Linked DNA regions of Pelodiscus sinensis. The protein of the gene in region 1 interacts with the protein of each later gene in a pairwise test. Links are inferred from orthologs where the notes say so. Each region holds a gene or a part of one and is shown in the gene's direction. Other genes may lie near its edges. The genes, in order: ZCCHC10, SFMBT1 and PRR13.

What was found.
Region 2: the proteins of ZCCHC10 (region 1) and SFMBT1 interact in binary tests that used the Homo sapiens proteins (3 or more experiments, as listed by UniProt). The two-hybrid records come from large-scale screens. The link is inferred for Pelodiscus sinensis from reciprocal best matches to the Homo sapiens genes ZCCHC10 and SFMBT1.
Region 3: the proteins of ZCCHC10 (region 1) and PRR13 interact in binary tests that used the Homo sapiens proteins (3 or more experiments, as listed by UniProt). The two-hybrid records come from large-scale screens. The link is inferred for Pelodiscus sinensis from reciprocal best matches to the Homo sapiens genes ZCCHC10 and PRR13.

What each region holds. Positions count from the first base shown.
Region 1 is NC_134727.1:24,430,791-24,438,318, forward strand, and holds the start of ZCCHC10 (zinc finger CCHC domain-containing protein 10), read left to right. Parts: upstream 1-4,522; 5' UTR 4,523-4,632; coding exon 4,633-4,790; intron 4,791-5,406; exon of another isoform or gene 5,407-6,150; coding exon of another isoform or gene 6,151-6,161; intron 6,162-7,528.
Region 2 is NC_134721.1:40,538,025-40,545,147, forward strand, and holds the start of SFMBT1 (scm-like with four MBT domains protein 1), read left to right. Parts: upstream 1-4,030; 5' UTR 4,031-4,050; intron 4,051-7,123. UniProt on the Homo sapiens protein: Histone-binding protein, which is part of various corepressor complexes. Mediates the recruitment of corepressor complexes to target genes, followed by chromatin compaction and repression of transcription.
Region 3 is NC_134729.1:336,436-343,621, forward strand, and holds the start of PRR13 (proline-rich protein 13), read left to right. Parts: upstream 1-4,098; 5' UTR 4,099-4,211; intron 4,212-6,640; 5' UTR 6,641-6,667; coding exon 6,668-6,686; intron 6,687-7,186. Other genes in the region: AMHR2 (anti-Muellerian hormone type-2 receptor), read left to right, coding at 1-23, 321-509. UniProt on the Homo sapiens protein: Negatively regulates TSP1 expression at the level of transcription. This down-regulation was shown to reduce taxane-induced apoptosis.

The sequences.
Region 1 (7,528 bases):
AGCACTGACTTTGTAATGTACAAAATCAGTGCTTCTTGCGCAAATACTTTCACGCTCCCACTCGGGAAAAAGCCCTCTTGTGCAAGAATACTTGCACAAGAGGGCCAGTGTAGACAGGAAAGAACTGTTTTGCGCAAAAAAGCCCCGATGGCTAAAATGACGATTGGGGCTTTCTTACGCAAAATTGCATCTAGACTGGCCACGGATGCTTTTGTGCAAAAGCACTTTTTGCGCAAAAGCATCTGTGCCAATCTAGACGCGCTTTTGCAGAAATACTTTTAACGGAAAAACTTTTCCGTTAAAAGTATTTTCGCAAATCATACCAGTCTAGACGCAGGCTTATTGTTTTTCATATGTTTTCTCAGTCTCATATGTTTTCCTATGTTTTCTCTGCTTTCAGCTTCAGAATAAATGTACTTGATTAGAAAGAGCTTGATTATTTCGAACGCCCATTTCACTGCCGCTTGTAGACGCGGGCAGTTATTCCGGGCTTATCAATTTCAAAGATGGCACCCGGCCAAGAACATGCAAATCAAGCACGGGATATTTAGATTCTGGGCTTGATTTGCAATCCCAAATGCCTACATTTGCAGCCCTATTTCGAATTAGGCTGCAAGTGTAGACATACCCGAAGAGTCCATCACTTCTTCCACTTCCCAACCTGATCCCACAGAAAGAAAGAAACCTATTTTCTTCCTTGCTCCCAGCCCCACAATCCAACACTGCCAAAAGCTCCACTGTCCTATTGTGTTCTTCAGGCTTATAATTTCTTTGTTGCATGAGCCTCTTCTCTACCATTTATATTCTATCTGGTGGTGACCAGGGCTGGCCTTACTATGAGGCAGTCGCCTCTGGTGCCAAACTATGGGAGGGAGCCACTAGGACCCAGAGTGTAGAAAATTGTATCTGCTGCTGTTTCATATGTATTCTCTCCGCTCTAGATGCACAGAGATGGTGGAGTGCTGTGCTGGAGGAAGGAGGGCAAAAGAGACATAACAGGCATGCAGGAGAAATGGGGGCGTCATTTGAGCTCCCTGCCTCAGGTGCAAGAATGTTGTGGGTTGGTCCTGGTGGTGACTTTTGGAAAATGAATTTGGTAGATGTCAGTTCAAATCCTAGGGGCAGACATTTCTGACACTAATGTCACCATCACACTTGGAACTAGTATAGGGCAGTCTTTACAAAGGAGATATGGTCAATGTCTATGGGGATTTAACCACTCTTTCACCTTTAGACTTGGTCCATTGCAGGACTATGTGTACTCTTGCTTCCCAGACTGTTCTAGTTCTGTGATAAACAGAAAACTCTAGTCTCAGTACCATTAATCTGATATCTTGCTTTCATGAGGAATATATATGCTGGAAAAATATGGAGGGGAAGAATGTTAAATCTTTGAATAGGACCACAACAAGATATTTGCCTATTCCTTTTGATGAAGTGCCATGGAGAAGCCCAAGATTTCTGAACAGTATTAGATAAAAGTGGTTAAGAGCTAGCAGCAGACACAACTGATAAATTATTGACTGTTACAAAGGTACGTTTTCATCTATCTTGTTTTAAGAAAGTGTTAGTAACTCTGTCCTGGAATCAAAAGTTCTTCCTTACTTTCACCATCAGAAGATAGATTCAGGCTAAACACCAGGTACTGGCAGTAAATTCAGAAAACAAGAGTTAAATGCCACAAAAGAGAATTACAAGTGGCATCGCAGATACTGGAGGTCAGAAATTTTAAAAAATGCCAGAGTCAGATGTGAGTAGTCACAGATTAACACAAGGTATCACCCAAAGGGAGACAGGGATTAGAAGCCAGATAAAGCCCCATATAGTATGACACGTGACGCATAGGGCAACAGCAACCAGGCATTAGACATTACAATTGAAATGTTTAGAACTTGGAACTGCCATTAGATTCAGGAATGAGTCATACAATTAACTCTGATGAGCTGGAAATGTTTATCTAACAAAACTTTTTATTAACTTATCTGCTATAGGCAACATTTAATTGGTTGCCACTGCATCAAGAGGGTCCTATTATTAATAAAATACACATTGTATGTCTGCTGCTGGCATAGGTGAGGACTCCATTCTTTGTGGGCCCTTTAGAGTGTGCAAAAAACCTGCCTTGTAATTAATCAGAATTATATTTATTTACAATCAATTATAACATTAATTATACAGGTAAATGTGGCTTATTGAAATGGTATATACCCATTCTTTGGAGAGATCATTTATTTACTATATTATGGACCCATAAATCCTGGCTCCATATTTGATGCAGGGTTTAAGCTTTTTGTTTGAAGTAGGGTACTATTCTTTCTGTTATGGCGAGATATAAAGGCTGGGCCTGATAAAAATCAACACACACATACACATTTAGGGGGGAGATAGCATTTTTTGGGAAAGTTACAAGTAAACACTTTGAACATTAGGACTCCCAATTAGTTAAATGACTCCTTTTTTAAATTTGAGGACTGTCTGGTGTATCCTTGGATCTTCCTTGTTCAAAGCCAAACTGTCTCTGCAGAGACAAACTTTCAACATTTAAATTTCCTTGTCAGTTTGTATACAGGCTAGTATGCAATTATTCTGAACTATGTGAGGAAACAATTATAAATTGTACGGTTACAGTCAAGTATCTGCCTATAGTTTAAACAATTTTTAATTGGCAGCACTTGAATCAGAGGTACTTCAACCAATAATCACTCTTCTTCCCCACCTCATTTGTATACTGCAATTCTATTGGTTGAAATGAACTGATAGAGGGAAGAACTTGTATGAGTGTCAAGAGTTCGTATTGGTAGATTTCATCTGCACACAAACCAAAGGAACACTGGATTGGCTCAGAGTTGAGGTGCATTCATCTAGTAGTTGTATATATTTAAAAATATAAACAACCTAAGAAAACCCAGCAATCCACAGGAAGGGTACACTTCATTGTGCAAAATATAGCATGTGAGTATGTGTGAAATGTGTTATATACATTTATACTGACAGTGTCTCTAGAGCCTAACAAAAACACAAAGTGGTAACACTTTGCCTAGTATCATACAGGAACTCTTAGGCCAAGCCATGTATGGAGTCAGTACAAGCACTGGGAAACAAGACCAGTTGTTATCCCTTTTGAATGGGCAGTTATCCTAGGGTTTCCAACTCTCTCGGAGAGGATGAACTGGATGCCATTACTACAAATGGCATCTAGTCTGTCCACTCAGGAGAGTTTTCAACCCTAAGTTATCCAAGAATTTGGGTCTTATTCAATTGGGAGGAGAAGTTGGTGATGGAATCGGGTGTGTGTATGATATAATCCAATCTATTTACAAAGTCCTGTTTCCTTGCACAAAGTGGAAGTCAAATAAAGGAGAGTGTCCTGGCTTAACTATCCAAGCTACTTTTTCTAGTCAGCACTTTGCCCCAAAGTGCTTTGTCATTGTTTTCCATGGGGCCATGTTCTCAGTGCTTTTTCTGACTGTGTCCATAGCACAAAGCAAGTCATATAAACCCAACTTTGTATAGGTAGTCACTAATTGCTCCTTATTTTCTGGGTACCCAACTGCAGACCCCTGGGTCTGATACACAGAAGTGCAAAGCACTCACATATGCATGTGAAATCAATGGGAGTTCTGCTTTTAACATACAAAGTTCTATATATTGCTAAGTACTTTGAAAAAATTGGGCATCTCAAATAGGGCCTAAATTATTGACCTATTGACCTTAGTCTCTGGTCCCTATTTGTAAATTGGGCATACCTTGCTTGAACCTCACAGGAGCTTTGTGAAGATAAAGAAACTGGTGTTTGTGAAGCACCTGGATGCTATAGTGATGAGCACCATAGAGGAAGCCCATAAGGAAACTAATAATCTCTGTCTTCAATGTGCCCTGTGACTACAGATCCTGACACACAAGGGTCCGTCTTGATTTGAAAAAGAACCTGATTTATAATATTTTCATAGAAGTCATTACCTGTAATTTATGTTGTACTTAGTCTGCAGAAACCCCACAGAGAAACTGATAAAATTACAGGCTTAACATTGCTCAAGGTAAACATTGGACAGGTAAACAATGCATTATACTTTTTTCAACATCAAGCGTGTTGGGATAATTGTTTGTCTTCAACTAATATTTAATGTAGAGGGCCAGGAAAGCGCCTTCATTTGTGATTATAATAGTCCTACAGCCCATAAGAAGGAGAAAGAACATAAGAATGACCATACTGGGTCAAACCAAAGGTCCATCCAGCCCAGTATCTGCGGCCAGTGAGAACACAAAAGTCACTTTATGCAGGACAGAGAAACAAGTCAAATCCATCAGTGTGAGGCTGAGAAGCATGAATAGACCAGCACAAGTCCAAAACAAGGTAGCAGCTGGTGCCTACGCATCTGTATACAAAACAAGGTAGCAGCTGGTGCCTACGCATCTCCCCAGGTCAGTGGGGAAGGGCACGGGAGAGAGTTTCACGTGGCCCAGGGAAGGGGCAGAAGCCTGGGAAGCAGGAGAGCGCGCTGGAGGACCAGCAAAGAGCCAGCCACCGGAGCTTCCGCTTCGCAGGAAGCTGCCCCGCCCGGAGAAGTAGAGACGAAGTGGAGGACGGGCCCCAAAGCGCGTCTTCTCTAGCCGCCCGAAGCCTGGCTCTTTATGGTAGACAGCGGCCGGCTTCTCCCGCAATGGGGAAGGCGGAGAAGGGCGGAATTGCCCGGCATGCAGCGCGGCGGGCCCTTCTCTGCTCGCCTCACTTCCCGGCCAGGGGCTAAGATGGCGACTCCCATGCACCGACTCATCGCTCGGCGGCAGGCGTGAGTGCGCCGGGCTAAGGGAGCGTCCCCGGAGACAGCGGCTCCCCGAGGGGCAGCCCGGGAGAAGCGGCGTCCAGCGGGCACGGGAGAGGGGGGCTGTCTTGGCGGGGAAGCCGCAGGGACGTGGGCTCTCCTGGGAGGGGAGCCGCGGGGGTCGCTGCGGCCCGTGTATGGGGAGGTCTCGCTGCCTTCACCCGTCCCGGAGAGCGTGCGGGTTGGGTGTGGAGCCAGCCCTGCGGGGGGCAGGTAGCGGCGGCTGGCCGGGCTCGCGGCGTTTGCCAGAGGAGCGCTGGTACAGGCGGCGAAGGGCAGTAAATGATGCGCGGCGTGTGTACAGGACCCCTCGTCTCCGCAGCCTCTGACGCGCAGCCCCACGGTTAAAGGGCTGTAGCGTGCGAGCAGATGGTTCTTGTTTGAAAGCGAAGCGATGCATCTGTCTGGGAGGAAGCTCTTCCCTGTCTAGCCCAACGCAAACTCTAGTCACCCTGCGCTCACCGCGAACTGGGGCAGGCCTGCTGCTCGCTGGTTTCTGAAAACAGATTCTGTATTGCAGTATGGAAGATTAAGTTGAGCATGGTACGGAGCTTCTGCAACAGGCCATTGCAGGAATAATAGAAATTTTTTACATATCGGCGTGAGATAGCTAAGTACCATTAGTTTATATATCAGAAACTTGATAAACAAAGAGGTTGCATGGCATTGGGTTTTTGTCCCTCTTCAGAAGTTGAGGATATTTTTTTTTTTTTTTTTTACACCAGAATTTGAGGTCTTGAGTGTCCAGACTAGGGTGATGGAAGAAGTAGCAAATGGATGGTATTTGTAATAATCAAGAATGAAAGCTGAATGAGAGGGGAAGGATGTCTTAGTCAAGGCTTGCCTACAGTGGCAAGTTACTGCAATGTAATTTTCTGCTTAGGGATGTGAACTCCGCCCTCCCCCCACCACACGCACCAAGTTACAGTGCTGTAAAGTACCAGTGTGGATAGTGCTGCCCTGCTTTCAGCACTATTAGCGTCTCCCTTCTTTGAGGTAGTTTACTTAAAGTGCTGAACAAGTGTTCTCCTAGCACTTTTGCTGTGACTGCACTGTGTTAAAACAGTTAAAGTGAAGACAAACTCTGATTGTTTAAAACTCCAATTTTGAATAATTAACATTAATGTCTAATCAGTCATGCATTCTTTTCACAAATTGTTAATGGTTCTACACCCAAACCCGTCAGTGAAGGTGTAAGATGTCACAATACACCTATCTGAGGGAATGTCTACACCTAAAAGTAGACAAAACAAAAATTGTTCACAGTTGCTCCCTGTTTTGACAGATCAAGTCCACATTGGGGACACCATCATCGACACTGTGAGCAATGCGCTGTGGGTATGTATCCCACAGTGCAGTGTTGTGGGAAGGCAGAGCTGAACCCTGCACACCTTGTGATTCTTTTAGTTCTCTCAGCATCCTCAGCTGATGGGGCATCATCACGAGTAGCTCTGTTTCAGTGGTGAGAGTGGAAGGGCAGATAGGTGTGGCCCTCTCCTCCCACTTTTGCAGTGGGCAGCACCGCTGAGTTTGATCTGAGCATTAGTCTCCAGGGCAACTGCTGCCTTCAGTCCAACCAGCCTCGTGTGTCAGAATTCCTCCTATCCCTGCCCTGCTTAGCACTGCCTTGGATCCCAGCCCTGCCAGGAGCCCTTGGTTTCCTCAGGCTTCCTACCTTATTGATTGATTACTCTCCATGCTGAGGAATGCTGCCTCTTTCCCCATGCAGCAGCAGTCTGCCTGATGCTGTCTTCCTATTGCAGGGCAGAACAGGAGCATTCCAATGATTTATTCTTTGTTCCCCAAACTGAATAGCTCACTGAGCTGTCAGATACTTCCCAGAGCTTTCAAAGGGGAGGCGTGCATGCCTACAAGACAGCAGAGAACAAAACACTGAACAGAGCCATCAGGGGAGGCATTGTGGGATATTGGCGGGAGCCAGTTCTATCCTGGACAAAACACACAGTAGAATCTATGTTGCCTCTTAGTATTTCTTTGTACCAGGAAAAAAGAAAAAGGTCTCTCATTGAGTGAAAGTTTTTTGATGCTGAAACTAGGTATTTTTCCCCAGTAAAAGTTGTGTGAATGTTCTCGCTGTTGTCTCTCTAAAAGGCAATTTTTAGTGATAAAACTTTGTAGTGTAGATGTATCCTGAGAGACTCATGAGGTCCCCAAGTAGGAAAAACACAGAACGTTCTAAAGTTTAAAAACAGGAAGGGCAGAAAAAATCATTTCAGGTCTCTTTTACTCACACATCTATAGTAGTGCTCACAAAAAAAGGACAAGCCTACATTTTTCTTTTTAAATTGTTCAGGTCATCTTAAAGTAACTTGACCAAAGTAGGGATGTTAAATAACATAAATGAATAGTCAATTAACCTCATGAATTCTTACTGGTTACTCGACTATTCTGTAGTCCGCAAGGTGGGGCTGGCAGTGTGTGCTCTGGCCTCGTTCCCAGGGAGTCCCTTGCCACTCTGCTCTGCTGCCTCTGTATCAGCATAGAGTACCAGGTGAGAGTTGGTCCATGAGGGGAACCAGTTTAAAAACCAGCTCCCCTCATGGACTGGTTGCCTGTTGGCCCACACTGTTGCCTATGATACAGAGGCAGCAGCATGGGGTTCCAGCAGCCCCTGTCTAAGGGGTCTGAGCTCCTGAACCCAGCACAAGCCGGAACTGAGCCGGGCTGCCTGCCCGCCTGGCTCC
Region 2 (7,123 bases), on another chromosome or scaffold:
CAGTTTTCAGAATTGCAGGCTAATTGCCACCAGGTTCCCTTTCATCTGGGAGACTCAAGCAACGAGCAAAATTAGCTTCTTACTTGAATGTGGCTAGGTTGATATTTTGCTGACATCCCAGAAATATCCAATTTGCGATTGTAACAAAAGGGAAAATGTATTAATGAGCAAATCAATCACAGACTTCCTTTAGGGAGAATATAAATGTATATAAAGACAAGGACCGTTGATAAATTACAATTAATTCAAATAATTATTTCAAAAATTATCATGATTAATTACAGCTTTAATTGCACTGATATACAATAGAATACCAATTGAAATGTATTACATAAGTGGATGTTCTATATTTTCAAATATGTTGATTTCAGTTAAAACACAGAATACAAAGTGCACAGTGCTCACTTTAGTTTAATTGCCAATAATTGTATTGTTCAAATGATAAACAAAAGAAACAGTATTTTTCAATTCATACCAGTGCTATAGTGCAATCTCTTTATTGTGAAAGTGAAACTTATACATTTAGGCTACGTCTAGACTGGCAAAGTTTTTCCATTAAAAGCATTTGCGGAAAAAAAGCGTCTAGATTGGCACGGACGCTTTTCCGCAAAAGCACTTCTAGATGCGGTTTTGTGCAAGAAAGCCCCGATCGCCATTTTCGCCATCGGGGCTTTTTTGCGCAAAACAGTTTTTAGCGGTCTACACTGGCCCTCTTGCGCAAAAACATTTCCGGAAAAGGGTTTTTGCCTGAACAGGAACGTCAAAGCATTTGCGCAAGAAGCACTGATTTTGGACAGTAGAATGTCAGTGCTTTTGCACAAAATCAAGCGGCCATTGTAGACAGCTGTCAAGTTTTTGCGCAAAAGCAAGTGCTTTTGCGGAAAAACTTGCCAGTCTAGACACAGCCCTAGATATTTTTTTGTTACAAAATTGTATTCATATATGTGTGTGTGTATGTATAATGACTTTAGAGTTTTACTTCTTGTACAGCCAATCACACAGACAAATAAGTTTGTTTACATTTGCAGAAGATAATGCTGCCTGCTTTTTATTTACAATGACACCTGAAAGTGAGAACAGCCATTCATTCACGTAACACTTTTGTAGCTGGCATGGCAAGATTTTTACATGCCTGATATGCCAAATATTCATTTGCCTCTTCAGGCTTCAGCCACCATTTGAGAGGACATGCTTCCATGCTGATGACACTCGTTAAAAATAAGGCATTAAATAAATTTATGACTGGACTCCTTGGGAGAGAATTGTATATTTCCTGCTGTTTTACCCATATTCTGCCATATATTTCATGTTATAGCAGTCTCAGATGATGACCCAGCATGTTTTTCATTTTAAGAACTCTCTCTGCAGATTTGACAAAATGTGAGGAAGAAAATGCAAATTGCACTGTGAAATTTCTAAAGATAGCTACAGCACTCAACCCAACATTTACGAATCTGAAGTGCTGTCCAAAATGTGAGCGGTATAAAGTGTAAAGCAAGCTTTGAGACATCTTAAAAGAGTAAAACTCAAACCACCAAAAAGAAAAATCTGCTGGTGACATGTAATTCAGATGATGAAAATGAAAATGCATCAATTGAGTCTGCTTTGGATTGTCATTAGCAGAATCTGTCATCAGCATGGATGTAGGGAAAGGTAGTTGAAGCATGAAAGGTCATATGAATCTTTAGCATATCTCAGCTATCTGACATAAATATCTTGCGACATTGGCTACAACAGAGCCATGCGAATGCCTGTTCTCACTTTCAGATGACATTGTAAACAAGAAGTAGGCAGCATTATCTCCTGCAAATGTAAACAAACTTATTTGAATGAGCATTTGGCTGTACAAGAAGTAGGTCTGAGTGGACTTTCTAGTCCCTAAAGTTTTACATTGTTTTATTATTGAAGGAAGGTTTTTTTGTACTTAATTCTACATTATTTCAAGTTTCATGATAAAGAAATTGCTTCTGCAATAGTTGTACTAGGTTAATTGAAAAATACAATTTCTTTTGTTTTTCACGATTTGTAATACGATTTCACTTTGTAATAAAAATAAATATAAAGTAAACACTGTATACTTCATATTCTGTGTCATTTGAAAATGTAAAAAAATTCAAAACTATGTAAATAAATGGTTTTCTATTATTAACAACACAATCCTGATTCATTTTTTAATTGCTTGACAGCCCTAATATAGACCATTCTGACCATTTCCTCAGACTCGTCAGCTCAGTACATACCATATTAGCAGGGGCGGATGAGAGTGCCACGGGGCCCAGGGCAGCGCCGCGGGGCCCCGGGCAGCAACATTTCATGCCCCCCCCCCTTTGACACAGCGCATGCGCTGTGGTGCCAAGGCGCATGCGCGGGGCCTCAGGAAGCGCGGGGCCCGGGACAGCCGCCCCGCTCACCCTGCCCTAAATCCGCCGCTGCATATTAGAGTACTTTTGTACAAGACCATGTGGCTAGAGAATTTCAGCCAGTGTCTAGTGCATAACTCTTTTTGGAATCCTTTGGATCTTGCATTTTTGCTCTCAGGGAGGTTCCAGCTGGCGGGGATGGAGTGCTAAGATGGGCAGTTTTTATGTAAGATTCCTTAAAAATCAAAGGTCAGAAAACACAAACAAATCTAAAACCATCAGAACTGGTCTCATGTATGCCCCTAAAATCAAGTGGTGTTGTGCTAAAATACACAAGGATTGGGCAAGGCCTCAGTCATAGCTTGAGACCTGAACTCACATATTAAAGTGTTGGGGGTGTGAAGGCTCAGGCCCTAAAACTTTTGGGAGAAGAGCATAAAGTTAGCATGGCAGTCTTAGCTCTGACATTCCAGACTCGTGTCAAGAAGCCAAACCCTTCATATTACAGTATATTGGTGAGGGTTTGTATTGTCATGGCAGCCAGAGAGGGGGAGAAGAGCCATTAGATCATCCTGTCAATCTCCAAGCCAGTCCAGGACTGTTCCCATCATTGCATTTTTTAACACATTGCCCAATTTCGCGTTAAAAAGTCCCAAGTGAAGGGGTGACGACACTTCCTTTCGGTGACTGTTTCACAGCCTAATCTACTACATCGTCAAGAACATTTCCCTTGACAATCCAGGCCAAATTCTTCTCATTGCTCTGTTAAACTGCCTGTATCTGATGGTAAGAATCATACCCTGAGCTCTCCCACACCTCTGGCTGTGAGATGATGGAGCTCTTCTGTGGCTTAATCACACATCTGTTTCCTCCCACATGGGTATTTTTGTGCCTTACTGCTGTCAGCACTGCAAGTACATGCTAACTTTGAAATGCTCATTTCTTCAGGACTGAAAATAGAATAAAGGTAGCATTCAGGTCAGCTGATCTAGGGGCTGCCTGCAGGGTAGGGTGGGAATAAGCTACACTCAGCAACAGGAATTATTTTCTTGCGTAGAGCGAAAGAGCTTGTGCAAGGATGACCATGAGGCTTGCGCTATGGGGCCAAATAAGAGGGTGATGTCTGAGATGAAGTGATTACCAAAGGTCACGTCAGAGGCAGAAATAGAGCCTGGTCTCCCAAATCCTTGTCCAGTGCCCCATCCAGTAGAAATCAATACCAGTTGAATTGTAACATTGCCTAGCAATATTAGATGCATATTTCCTTCAATAGGGTTAATGACAAACATTCTACGTACAGTCAGTAGACCAGGTACAGTTTCCATTTCATGTATGTGAACCATCCAAGAACAGTCGGCTTTCAACAAAAACAATGTCTTTTTGCACTTCATCGTTACTATGGAACACAGTGCTTGTGGACTGGCCCCCGTACACTGAGGTTAGAGAACTGTTGTTTGTATTGCCATTGCTCATTGCTGGAGAGTAAGCTCAGATTGTGGTCGCATTGGTTTTCCTGTTTTCTTGTTTTCAAATTTTTGCATTTTTTACATTATACTATCACTTCCCCTTATTACGTAGTATTACATGTAGCTGTGTGGTCACAGTGTCTCCATTCTGATCTACTTACACATGTGCTTCTGCCCTACAGCCGTAAAATGCAACACAACCTACCTCCCAGGCACGTACTCATGTAAGCAGCCCTTTCTTATTCATGTGTTTAGTTTCAGGCAAGCCAATGGGATGGTTGCTGTGAAGAAAGCTTTGCAGGAATGTGACTAAAAAGTTGAGCTACTTCAGTATTCCACATCAGATCTTATGGCTGGTTCACTAGATGAACTCCTCTTCGAACGTGCAGAATTGGACATGTTCCGTCAGTTTCATAATATTGGACATTAGTTTTATCAGGTGGCAGGCACATTAATGTTTTGGCACGAATGCATTTGATTTTATATTTGTTTTTCAACTTTGGTTATATATACACGTATCAAGGTAGGAACATTTGATTTTTTTTACTGCATGAAGTACCAGGTTCAGTTGGGGTACCATCGGGTGATGCCTTACTAAATAGCTGACGTGATGCCTGAATTTTGTTTGATGTTTATAAAATGTGGTAAGCCAGTTAAGAGAGTTGACTGGCTACTGGCCGTGCTGTTCTGAAAGCATGCTTTTATATTCAGCATTTCCCTGGTGTGAGTCAGAATTCATTCAGTGTTGCCAGTTGTACAAACCATAAAATATGCAGGAAAGGTATAAACTGGTAGTTACTTTACTTAGACCTGGTTACAACATATGTATATTAAGTTAGCTGTTGCAGAGTACATTCTATTACCATGAAAACTTGTTTGTGTACCACATACATGATATACTAGAATCTGTAGGTGGCATTTTCCTTTTCAGTTCATCTTAAAAAACTTACTGTCATAGTATTTGCCATTAACCTCAGCAAGCGATCACATTTTTTGCTTTATTTCCTAAGAATTGCTGGTTACTGCTGGGTTGATGTTTGATGAGATGCTTTCTCTTTTCTAATCAATTTGATCCTCTGCCTGGTTATGTCAGGGATGCACACACATCCTTGTCAGCTAAATGAATTAAATATGTGTTGTGTATCCTGTACAACAGACCATGCTTGTGGGTGTGTCTGCACAGCATGTTGAACCCAAAATAAGATATGCAATTCGTATCTATACAAATAAATTTGAAAGAAGCTATTTTGAAATTTGGCGCTGTGTAGACGCGCTATTTCAACACACTTAACCTTTGTGCAATGAGGTTTACAGGGATGGTGAAATAACATGCCCATTATTTCAAAAAACATGTTGAAATAATGGGTGTGTTTCAAAGATGCAGAGTAGCTGTATCGGGATACTGAGATATCCCAAATTGTAGACATAGCAGATGAGACCACCTCCCTCCTTTGATAGCGGAGGCAGCTATCTCCAAATCAAGTAAGAATAACTCGACAACTAGAAGAACAACTCAGCAACTGTTTGGGATTTTTTGTTTGTTTTTGTTTTTTTAAAGTCCCCTACGATGGGTTTGTTTGCGTGTGTGAGAAATATTTGCAGCTGGCATAGGCCTTTAAAAAGACTTGTTTTCTATGCCCATGTTGGATAACATCAAGCATAATTCTGCAAATTGTCCCTGTATTAAGCAATCAAAGAGGAAGGCCTTTGCAGTAGAATGGTTTCTAAAAGGGCTGCTTTTCCAATCTCAATGACACTTATGTAGGGTTGCCAGATGGTTTAACAAAAATTACCGAATTTCTCCCCGCTCCCCCCCATGGGAAAAAATTCTGTTGAGCAAAAAAAGAGAAAAAAACAAAAACACAGAAAAACTTGTTGAGCAAAAAAAGGACTTATCGGGGCCGAAATACGGTTGTAGCCCTTTTAATTCCTGGACCGCTCCGTCCTCCCCCAGCCAACCCGAGCTGCACCATGTGTCCCAACTGCCCTTCTGTCGGACATCTGAGCCAGGAAAAACAGAAAATACCAGTTGTACATGTCCAGTATTTTCTGAATTTTTTTGCTGGCCAGAAGGTGCAAATACTGGGCTGTCCAGTTCAAAAACTGTCCGGTGAGGGGGGATTTGATAGCAGCCTTCAACTTCCTGAAGGGAGGTTCCAAAGAGGATGGAGAGAGGCTGTTCTCTGTAGTGACAGATGGCAGAACAAGGAGCAATGGTCTCAAGTTGTGGTGAGAGAGGTCCAGGGTGGATATTAGGAAAAACTATTTCACTAGGAGGGTGATGAGGCACTGGGATGGGTTCCCTAGGGAAGTAGTGAAGTCTCCATCCCTAGAGGTGTTTAAGTCTTGGCTTGACAAAGCCCTGGCCGGGTTGATTTAGTTGGGATTGGTCCTGTGTAGAGCAGGGGGCTGGACTTGATGACCTTCTGAGGTCTCTTCCAGCTCTGTGATTCTATGAATACCAGACACCTGGCAACCCTACACTGTGTGGTTTTCTTTGGTTCTATGTTGCCTCAAAATGTCTGTCATGAATGGCTACATAACTACTTTCACTATTAGCCCTCCACCTCGCCACATAAAAAGGGCTGTTGCCGAAAATGAACTCATTCTTTTTCTTTGCAAACAGTACATTTTAAATCCTACTTAATGGTATTGAAAGTAGAGAGCAGCAGGGAATTATGAGAGAAAACAAGTAAAGCCAGTAGCAGAGGAACGGGTGGGAGAAGCAGAAGGAGAGACTACAAAGATACATCAGGAACGAAGCACAGGTTAGCTACTGTTTATTCCCTTCATTGTGGATTACTAGGAGAACTACGACTTGGACTGCATTTTCTAGCCTTTCTTGTACTGAATATGGCTCTGATTCCTCCGAACCAAAACGAGGCCTTTGGCTAGGTATGGAATCTCGAAGTGAGTCAGAACTCTTTCAGGCTCGTCTCCATTATCTGAATTCCTGATTTGAAAGCAGTTTCTCATCTGACTTGTCAAATTCAAGGGGCACTAGAATTCCTCTATTCTACTTGCCTAAACGAAAGACACAAAGAGGATAATTGCATCAAATGAGCCAACACTGAAAGCAAAATACCAGACGTCTACAATTGTAAACAATTACAGCCATGGCTTGGAAACCTGCAATTAGCATTAATGAATCGGAGCTTCTTCTGGTGCCTGTGGCAATCGAACATTTTACTCTCATGCGAGTAGAGAGTGAGATAATGTGGGCGACTCATGTAACCCCAAGCCTCACTACTCGCTTTCAGAGAGCGCCATAGGATGGTTCAGGGCCCCAGACCATAC
Region 3 (7,186 bases), on another chromosome or scaffold:
ACGCCTGGAGGCGGGCAGGCCAGGTGCTGGGGCTTGGGGGGGGCAGGGACAATGGGGACGGGGAGGGGGACACGAGTGGGCAGGGATGAGGGAGGGAGGACGCTGCCCATTTAAAGGGCCGGCGCCCAATACGTCTCTGTAGCGTCACTCCCCCAGCTCAAGACCCTTTGGTGACCCGCCCCCGGCTTTCCAGTCCTGCCCTCAGGCCACGGGTGGGGGGGGTCTTGTCTCTGCTGTGGGAGGTTACCTTGCGGGCGACTCCACCAGCCAGGCCTGCCCAGGCCCTGAGAGACCCCCTCTGCTCTCCTCTCCTGCCCCAGGTCTCCGTCGGCCTGCGGGAGCTGCTGGAGGACTGCTGGGACCCCGATCCCGAGGCCCGGCTGACGGCAGAGTGCACCCGCCAGCGGCTCCAGAGCCTGGGGGCTGAGTGGTCAGCAGGGGGCGCTGAGCTGGCCAAGGTGCTGCCCCCGGGACACGGTGCCTGGGAACGGTCCCTGGGCTGGTGCTGACGGAGGAAGAGGGACGTGGGGGGCAGGGACAGCGAAGTGCCCCCGGCTGCTCCACGCCCGGCTCCTGTTGTCCAGACCCCCCCCCCATCACCCCTGCTGGATGGGATCGGCGCTGCCTGAGCAGGCTGCCCCCTAGTGGAGCTGACACGACTCTTCTCCATCCCCCGGGTGCCCATCCGGCCAGTGAGCCGGCCTGCAGGCCACCTGGCCAGAAGCTATGGCCGTGGGCGTGTGCCCCACATCAAAGGGTCGAGCCCCCGTGCGGCTTAGCCACAGATTTCTGTGTGGTCGGCTCTTATCTTCATTGAATCGTGTCCTGTCTTCCGGGTCCAGGCCTCAGGGTGGCTCTCACTTACACGCCGCTCCCTTGGGCCCTGGGAGGCAGCCACTCCCGTACCACAGTATGGTGCTTTGGCCAGGCTCCTGATCTTCCTGGCTCTGGGCTGTGGGGTTGACACTCAGGAAGCGGGACTGACTGCTCCCTGAGCCCCAAAGTGCTTGCAGTGATGGCCACTGGGTGGGAAGGGAAACTGAGGCACCGAGCAGCAAAGCCCCTTGCCGCCATGCAGCTGAGCCTGAAGCCTAGTCTACTAAGAACATGAGAGCGGCCAGACGGGGTCAGACCAAAGGTCCATCCAGCCCCGTGTCCTGTCTGCCCCCAGTGGCCAATGCCAGGTGCCCCAGAGGGAGTGAACCGAACAGGCAATGATCAAGCGACCTCTCTCCTGCCATCCATCTCCACCCTCTGACACACAGAGCCTAGCGACACCATTCCTTACCCAGCCTGGCTAGTAGCCATTAATGGACCTAACATCCATGAATGTATCTAGTTCTCTTTTAAACCCTGTTTAGTCCTGGCCTTCACAACCTCCTCAGGCAGGGAGTTCCACAGGTTGACAATGCACTGTGTGAAGAAGAACTTCCTTGTATTTGTTTTAAACCTGCTGCCCATTAGTTTCATTTGGTGGCCCCTAGTTCTTATGTGATGGGAACAAGTAAATAACTTTTCCTTATTCACTTTCTCCACACCACTCAGGATTTTATAGACCTCGATCCTACCTCCTCTTAGTCTCCTCTTTTCCAAGCTGAAAAGTCCCAGTCTCTTTAATCTCTCCTCCTATGAGACCCGTTCCAAACCCCTCATCATTTTAGTTGCCCTTCTCTGAACCTTTTCTAATGCCAGTCTATCTTTTTTGAGGTGAGGAGACCACATCTGTACACAGTATTCAAGATGTGGGCGTCCCATGGATTTATATAGGGCCATAAGATATTCTCCGTCTTATTCTCTATCCCTTTTTAAATGATTCCTAACACCCTGTTTGCTTTTTTGACTGCCGCTGCTCACTGCGTGGACGTCTTCAAAGAACTGTCCACGATGACTCCAAGATCTCTTTCCTGATTAGTTGTAGCCAAATTAGCCCCCATCATATTGTATTATATATTGGGGTTATTTTTTCCAGTGTGCATTACTTTACATTTCTCCACATTAAATTTCATTTGCCATTGTGTTGCCCAGTCACTTAGTTTGGTGAGATCTTTTTGAAGTTGACGGGCGAGCTAAGACGGGCCCGCGGGCTCCCCTGGTGTCAGGGGATGTGGGGCCTGGAGCCCGTCTGATCCACTGCCGCAGGATGCGCATAGATCGGTGTTGCCCCCTTTAGCCTTGTCTGCGCCTCCTCAGTGCTGGGGCCAGGACTGAGCTGGGGGGATCAGGGGTCAAGTGGCGGCAGAGACAGAGGGGGTGGAGGCAGGACTAGAGGCGGAGTCAGTAGGGACTGGGTGTCACTCTCCCCCTTCCCCCCCACTCCGGGGTGACTCCTGAGGATCCGCTGGGGCCCTCGCACGTCGCAGGGCTAGCTCTGGGCTCTGCTACCTCCCCCTTAGTTCCCCGGGCGGGTTGCCTTGCAGTTTGGGGTCCTCTTGCCTAGTTTCTCAGGCCCAAAGGCCCACCTGTGATCGTCTCAGCTGCCTGCCCACCACCGGCCGGCACGGCCCTGAGTTACCTCCCACCTGGAGCAGCGGGGCCGTTAGGAAATCGTCCCCTCACGTTAACTCTGCCCCTGGTGAGGAGCCCCCCACGACGCAGGCCCCTGTTAGGCCCTCGCCTGCCCTATCGGCCCCGAGCCTCAGCCTGAAATCCCCCCTCCAGCCGTCCCTTGGCTGCACAGCCAGCCCCAGCTCCGGAGTCTCTGTCCAGAAGGCCGGTCCCCCCACAGCGTCCAGGAGGCTGGTCCCTGCAGCCGGGCGGAGCGTCAGGACTGTGGGGGGTGGAGAGTGGGGGGCGCAGGACTCAGGGCTGCTTTCCAGAGCTCAGCCCCACAGGAATCCAGCCCGTAATTTCTCCAGCACTGCGAACCTCTTACCAGCGGGAGCCAGAGCCCCTAGGGAGCTCAGCGTCCCTTCCAGGCCAGGGTTTACAGCGGTCCCGTCTCAGAAACCTCAGGGTCAGTCTGTGTCTATAACACAGCCATTACAGCTGGGTCCTGCCCTCCCCTGCCCACTAGGGCCCACTCCCCTTCGTGGGCCAGGGAGAGAACCCAGGAGTCCTGCCGCCCAGTCATCTGCTCCAGCCAGCCTGCAAACAGCCCAATGACTAAAACTTTTCCAGTTTTCCCCAGAGATTCCTCCACATCCCTCCCCCCCCCCGTAGGCCCAGCGCCCCGCTGCCCAATATCCTGGGCAGAGCAGGCTCCTTAAGGCCCTGGGTGCGGCTGCCAGGTGAGCCTGGCTTTCCCGCAGCGGCGTCAGAGCTGTGTGACTGGGCTGCGTTCCAGGACCGGCCTGTGCCCTTGGGACACACCCACGGCTCGATACTGACGAATCTCTCCAGGCCAGGCCCTGGTGCCAGTGTGTGTTGGGGGCAGGGCTGTCCCAGAGGGGTGCCCCCTAAGCTTTGTCTCCCACCGATTCGCTCCTGCACCTCGCAGAGCCTCTGGGCAGCTTCATGGGCTGATGAAGAGCACAAAGGTGAGGGCTAGCGGGGGGAGGTCTCTGCCCCACCCCTGTTGTCACCGCTTCCCATCTGGGCGCCGGACACGTCAGCAGGTTTTATCCTCCCGCCCCGTGGGACATGAGCCTCATTTATGGGTGGGGAAACTGAGGCCCAGGGCGGACTCTATGGCTTGCCCCAGGTCACCCGGGACGAACGTGGCGGAGGCAAGACTGTGCTCCAGATCTTCAGGCTGGTGGCCCACCCTTCCTCCTGCGCAGGGTGGATTTCCAGTGTGAGACGGGAGCCCGAATATTTCTTCGCCACCTCCTCTCTGAGGCACCTCTCCAGCATTAGCGGGTGAACCTCCCGAGCGTCGTCCGCCCCCCGCCCTGCCGTGCCCTGCTCCCACGGTGGAGGGGCGATGGTACCCCTGGCGGGGAAACTGAGGCACAGCCACCCGCAAACCCCTCAGACGCTGCGGCTGCTGCTCCCGGAGTTTGCCCCGCGCCCCCGAGGCCGGGCCAGGCGACCCCCGGGAGACTCCAGCAGCCTGAGGCCCGAGCCCATCGCTAACCGCTAGGGCGCGCTGCCCTGCCGCCCCCCCACCCCTCGGGGTAGAACCCAGGAGTCCGGGCCTGGCCCCGCCCCCTCCCGCTGCCTGCCCGCGGGGGGCGGGGCCACCGGGCGGTGACGGACAGTCACGGGGGGCGGGGCCACCGCGCTCCAGGAAGCCGGCGGGGCTCAGCTGGGCAGCGCGGTGCCGAGTCGAGGTGAGTGAGGGGGGGCGGGTGTCTGTGTGTCCCCCCCCCACTGTGCCCCCCTGCACCTCCCGTCCCCTTCCCCCCGTGCCCCCCTGCACCTCCCGTCCCCCCCCCGTGCCCCCCTGCACCCCCCCTCCCCCCTCTGTGCCCCCTGCACCCCCCGTCCCCTCCCCCCTCTGTGCCCCCTGCACCGTGCCCCCCTGCACCCCCCGTCCCCTCCCCCCTCTGTGCCCCCTGCACCCCCCCGTCCCCTCCCCCCCGTGTCTCCCTGCACCCCCCCGTCCCCTCCCCCCTGTGTCCCCCTGCACCTCCCGTCCCCTCCCCCCTCTGTGCCCCCTGCACCGTGCCCCCCTGCACCCCCCGTCCCCTCCCCCCCTGTGTCCCCCTGCACCTCCCGTCCCCTCCCCCCTCTGTGCCCCCTGCACCGTGCCCCCCTGCACCCCCCGTCCCCTCCCCCTCCCCCCTCTGTCCCCCTGCACCCCCCCGTCCCCTCCCCCCTGTGTCCCCCCTCCCCCCCCGCCCGTCCCTGTGTGTACGCGTATCCCCTGCCCTGCCAGTCAGGACCCATCCAGCCCTTCCCCCCCCCCTAACTCCTGCGCCCCAGAGCCGACTCTCCTCTGCTGTAGGCGGCTAGATCGGTTCGGCTCCGGCGTGGCCCCCCCGGGCTGTGGGTGCGCACCGCGTTGCTGAGCCCCGGCCCCGCTTGCAGAGCGCCACGGGCGGGGCGCTCCGCCTGCCCTTGGACCCTGCGCGGGCGGGGCGGCCGGTTCCGCTTGGCTCGGGGCGGCTCCTGTGCAGAGGGCGGGGGCTGGGAACGGGGGGGGGAATTGCAAAGCGCTGTCCCCTGAATGGACCCCCCCCGGCCCGGGGGGGCTGACACCGAACTGCCCCTGCTCGGGGGGGGGCTGACACTGAACTGCCCCTGCTGGGGGGGGGGGCTGACACCGAACTGCCCCTGCTTGGGGGGGCCTGACACTGAACTGCCCCTGCTCGGGGGGCGGGCGGGGCTGACACTGAACTGCCCCTGCTGGGGGGGCGGGGGGGGCTGACACTGAACTGCCCCTGCTGGGGGATGGCGGGGGGGGGCTGACACCGAACTGCCCCTGCTCGGGGGGGCGGCGGGGGGGGCTGACACTGAACTGCCCCTGCTGGGGGGGGGCTGACACTGAACTGCCCCTGCTGGGGGGGGGCGGCGGGGGGCTGACACTGAACTGCCCCTGCTGGGGGGGGCGGGGGGGGCTGACACTGAACTGCCCCTGCTCGGGGGGCGGGGGGGGCTGACACTGAACTGCCCCTGCTGGGGGGGGCGGGGGGGGGCTGACACTGAACTGCCCCTGCTGCGGGGGGCGGGGGGAGCTGACACTGAACTGCCCCTGCTCGGGGGGGTGGAGGGGAGCTGACACTGAACTGCCCCTGCTGGGGGGCGGGGGGGGGCTGACACTGAACTGCCCCTGCTGGGGGGCGGGGGGGGGGGCTGACACTGAACTGCCCCTGCTGGGGGGCGGGGGGGGGCTGACACCGAACTGCCCCTGCTGGGGGGGGCGGGGGGGGGCTGACACCGAACTGCCCCTGCTGGGGGGGGCGGGGGGGGCTGACACCGAACTGCCCCTGCTCGGGGGGGGCGGGGGGGGGCTGACACCGAACTGCCCCTGCTGGGGGGGCGGGGGGGGGCTGACACCGAACTGCCCCTGCTGGGGGGCGGGGGGGGGCTGACACCGAACTGCCCCTGCTCGGGGGGGCGGGGGGGGGCTGACACCGAACTGCCCCTGCTCGGGGGGGCGGGGGGGGCTGACACCGAACTGCCCCTGCTCGGGGGGGCGGGGGGGGCTGACACCGAACTGCCCCTGCTCGGGGGGGCGGGGGGGGGCTGACACCGAACTGCCCCTGCTGGGGGGCGGGGGGGGCTGACACCGAACTGCCCCTGCTCGGGGGGGCGGGGGGGGCTGACACTGAACTGCCCCTGCTGGGGGGGGCGGGGGGGGGCTGACACTGAACTGCCCCTGCTGGGGGGGGCGGGGGGGGGCTGACACTGAACTTCCGCCGGCTCCGAGCCCCCAGGCCACGTTGTCCGACCCGGGGCTGGGGCTCCAGGGGAGAAAGCGGCAGCTGCTGCCTCCTGCCGGTCGCCCCTGTGCCTGGGGCCCGCGGGGCGGGAGGGGACCAGGGCCCTGACCCCCCCGTGGCGGCCGTGGGGCCGGTGGCTGAGCGCTGCGCTAGCAGACCCCTGCCAGGGGACCTGGGGCAAATCGCTGCCCCTCTCCGGACTCCCCTTCCGCCCTTTGTTGCCAGGGCTGGACCCCCAGGCTGTGTTGCCAGCGGGGCGCCCGGGTCTAGGCAGGCAGCAGCCTCAAGGGTGGGCCCTGATCTCCTTTAGGGCCCCCCCCTGCCCGAGGCCTGGCTGACCCCCGCTTTGCCTCACAGCCTCTCTCCCCCTCCAGGTGACCGGAGACGCCTCCTCTCTGAGCATGTGGGATCCCAACGCAGGTGAGGGGTGCTGGGCGCGCTGGCGGGGTTCTCCGCTGCTCCTCTGGCCTCCCCTCTGACGCTCGCCTGCTCTCTGCCCCAGCAGGGCCCCTCCAAAGCGGCAGGTTTGGCGCTCGCCCGGCGCGGCGTGGCTGCTCCCTGGGAAGGGGGCTGGGGGCAGATTCGGCAGGACGCTGCAGAGTGCAAGGGGGAAGATTCCCGCTCCTGAGCTGGTCTTTTCCCGTGACCCTCTGAGGAGCGGCCCCCGGCTGTGGAGTGAAACAGGATTAGCTGCCCAGGCCGCAGGGATCCCCCCAAGGGCCGGGGCTCTCACGGTGAAAAGGCTGCTCTCCTAGCTGCACCAGGCCGTCACTCCGCCTCCGTCCGCTTGCCGGGAGTTTGCGTAACTCTCTCCCCGAGGGCTCCCGGGCCACCCTGGCGGCTGCAGCCGGTCGCCCTAGCGCCGTGGGAGGCAGGTTGGCTGGGGCTATAGAAAATCCAAGACCTAGGTGCCTCCCGAT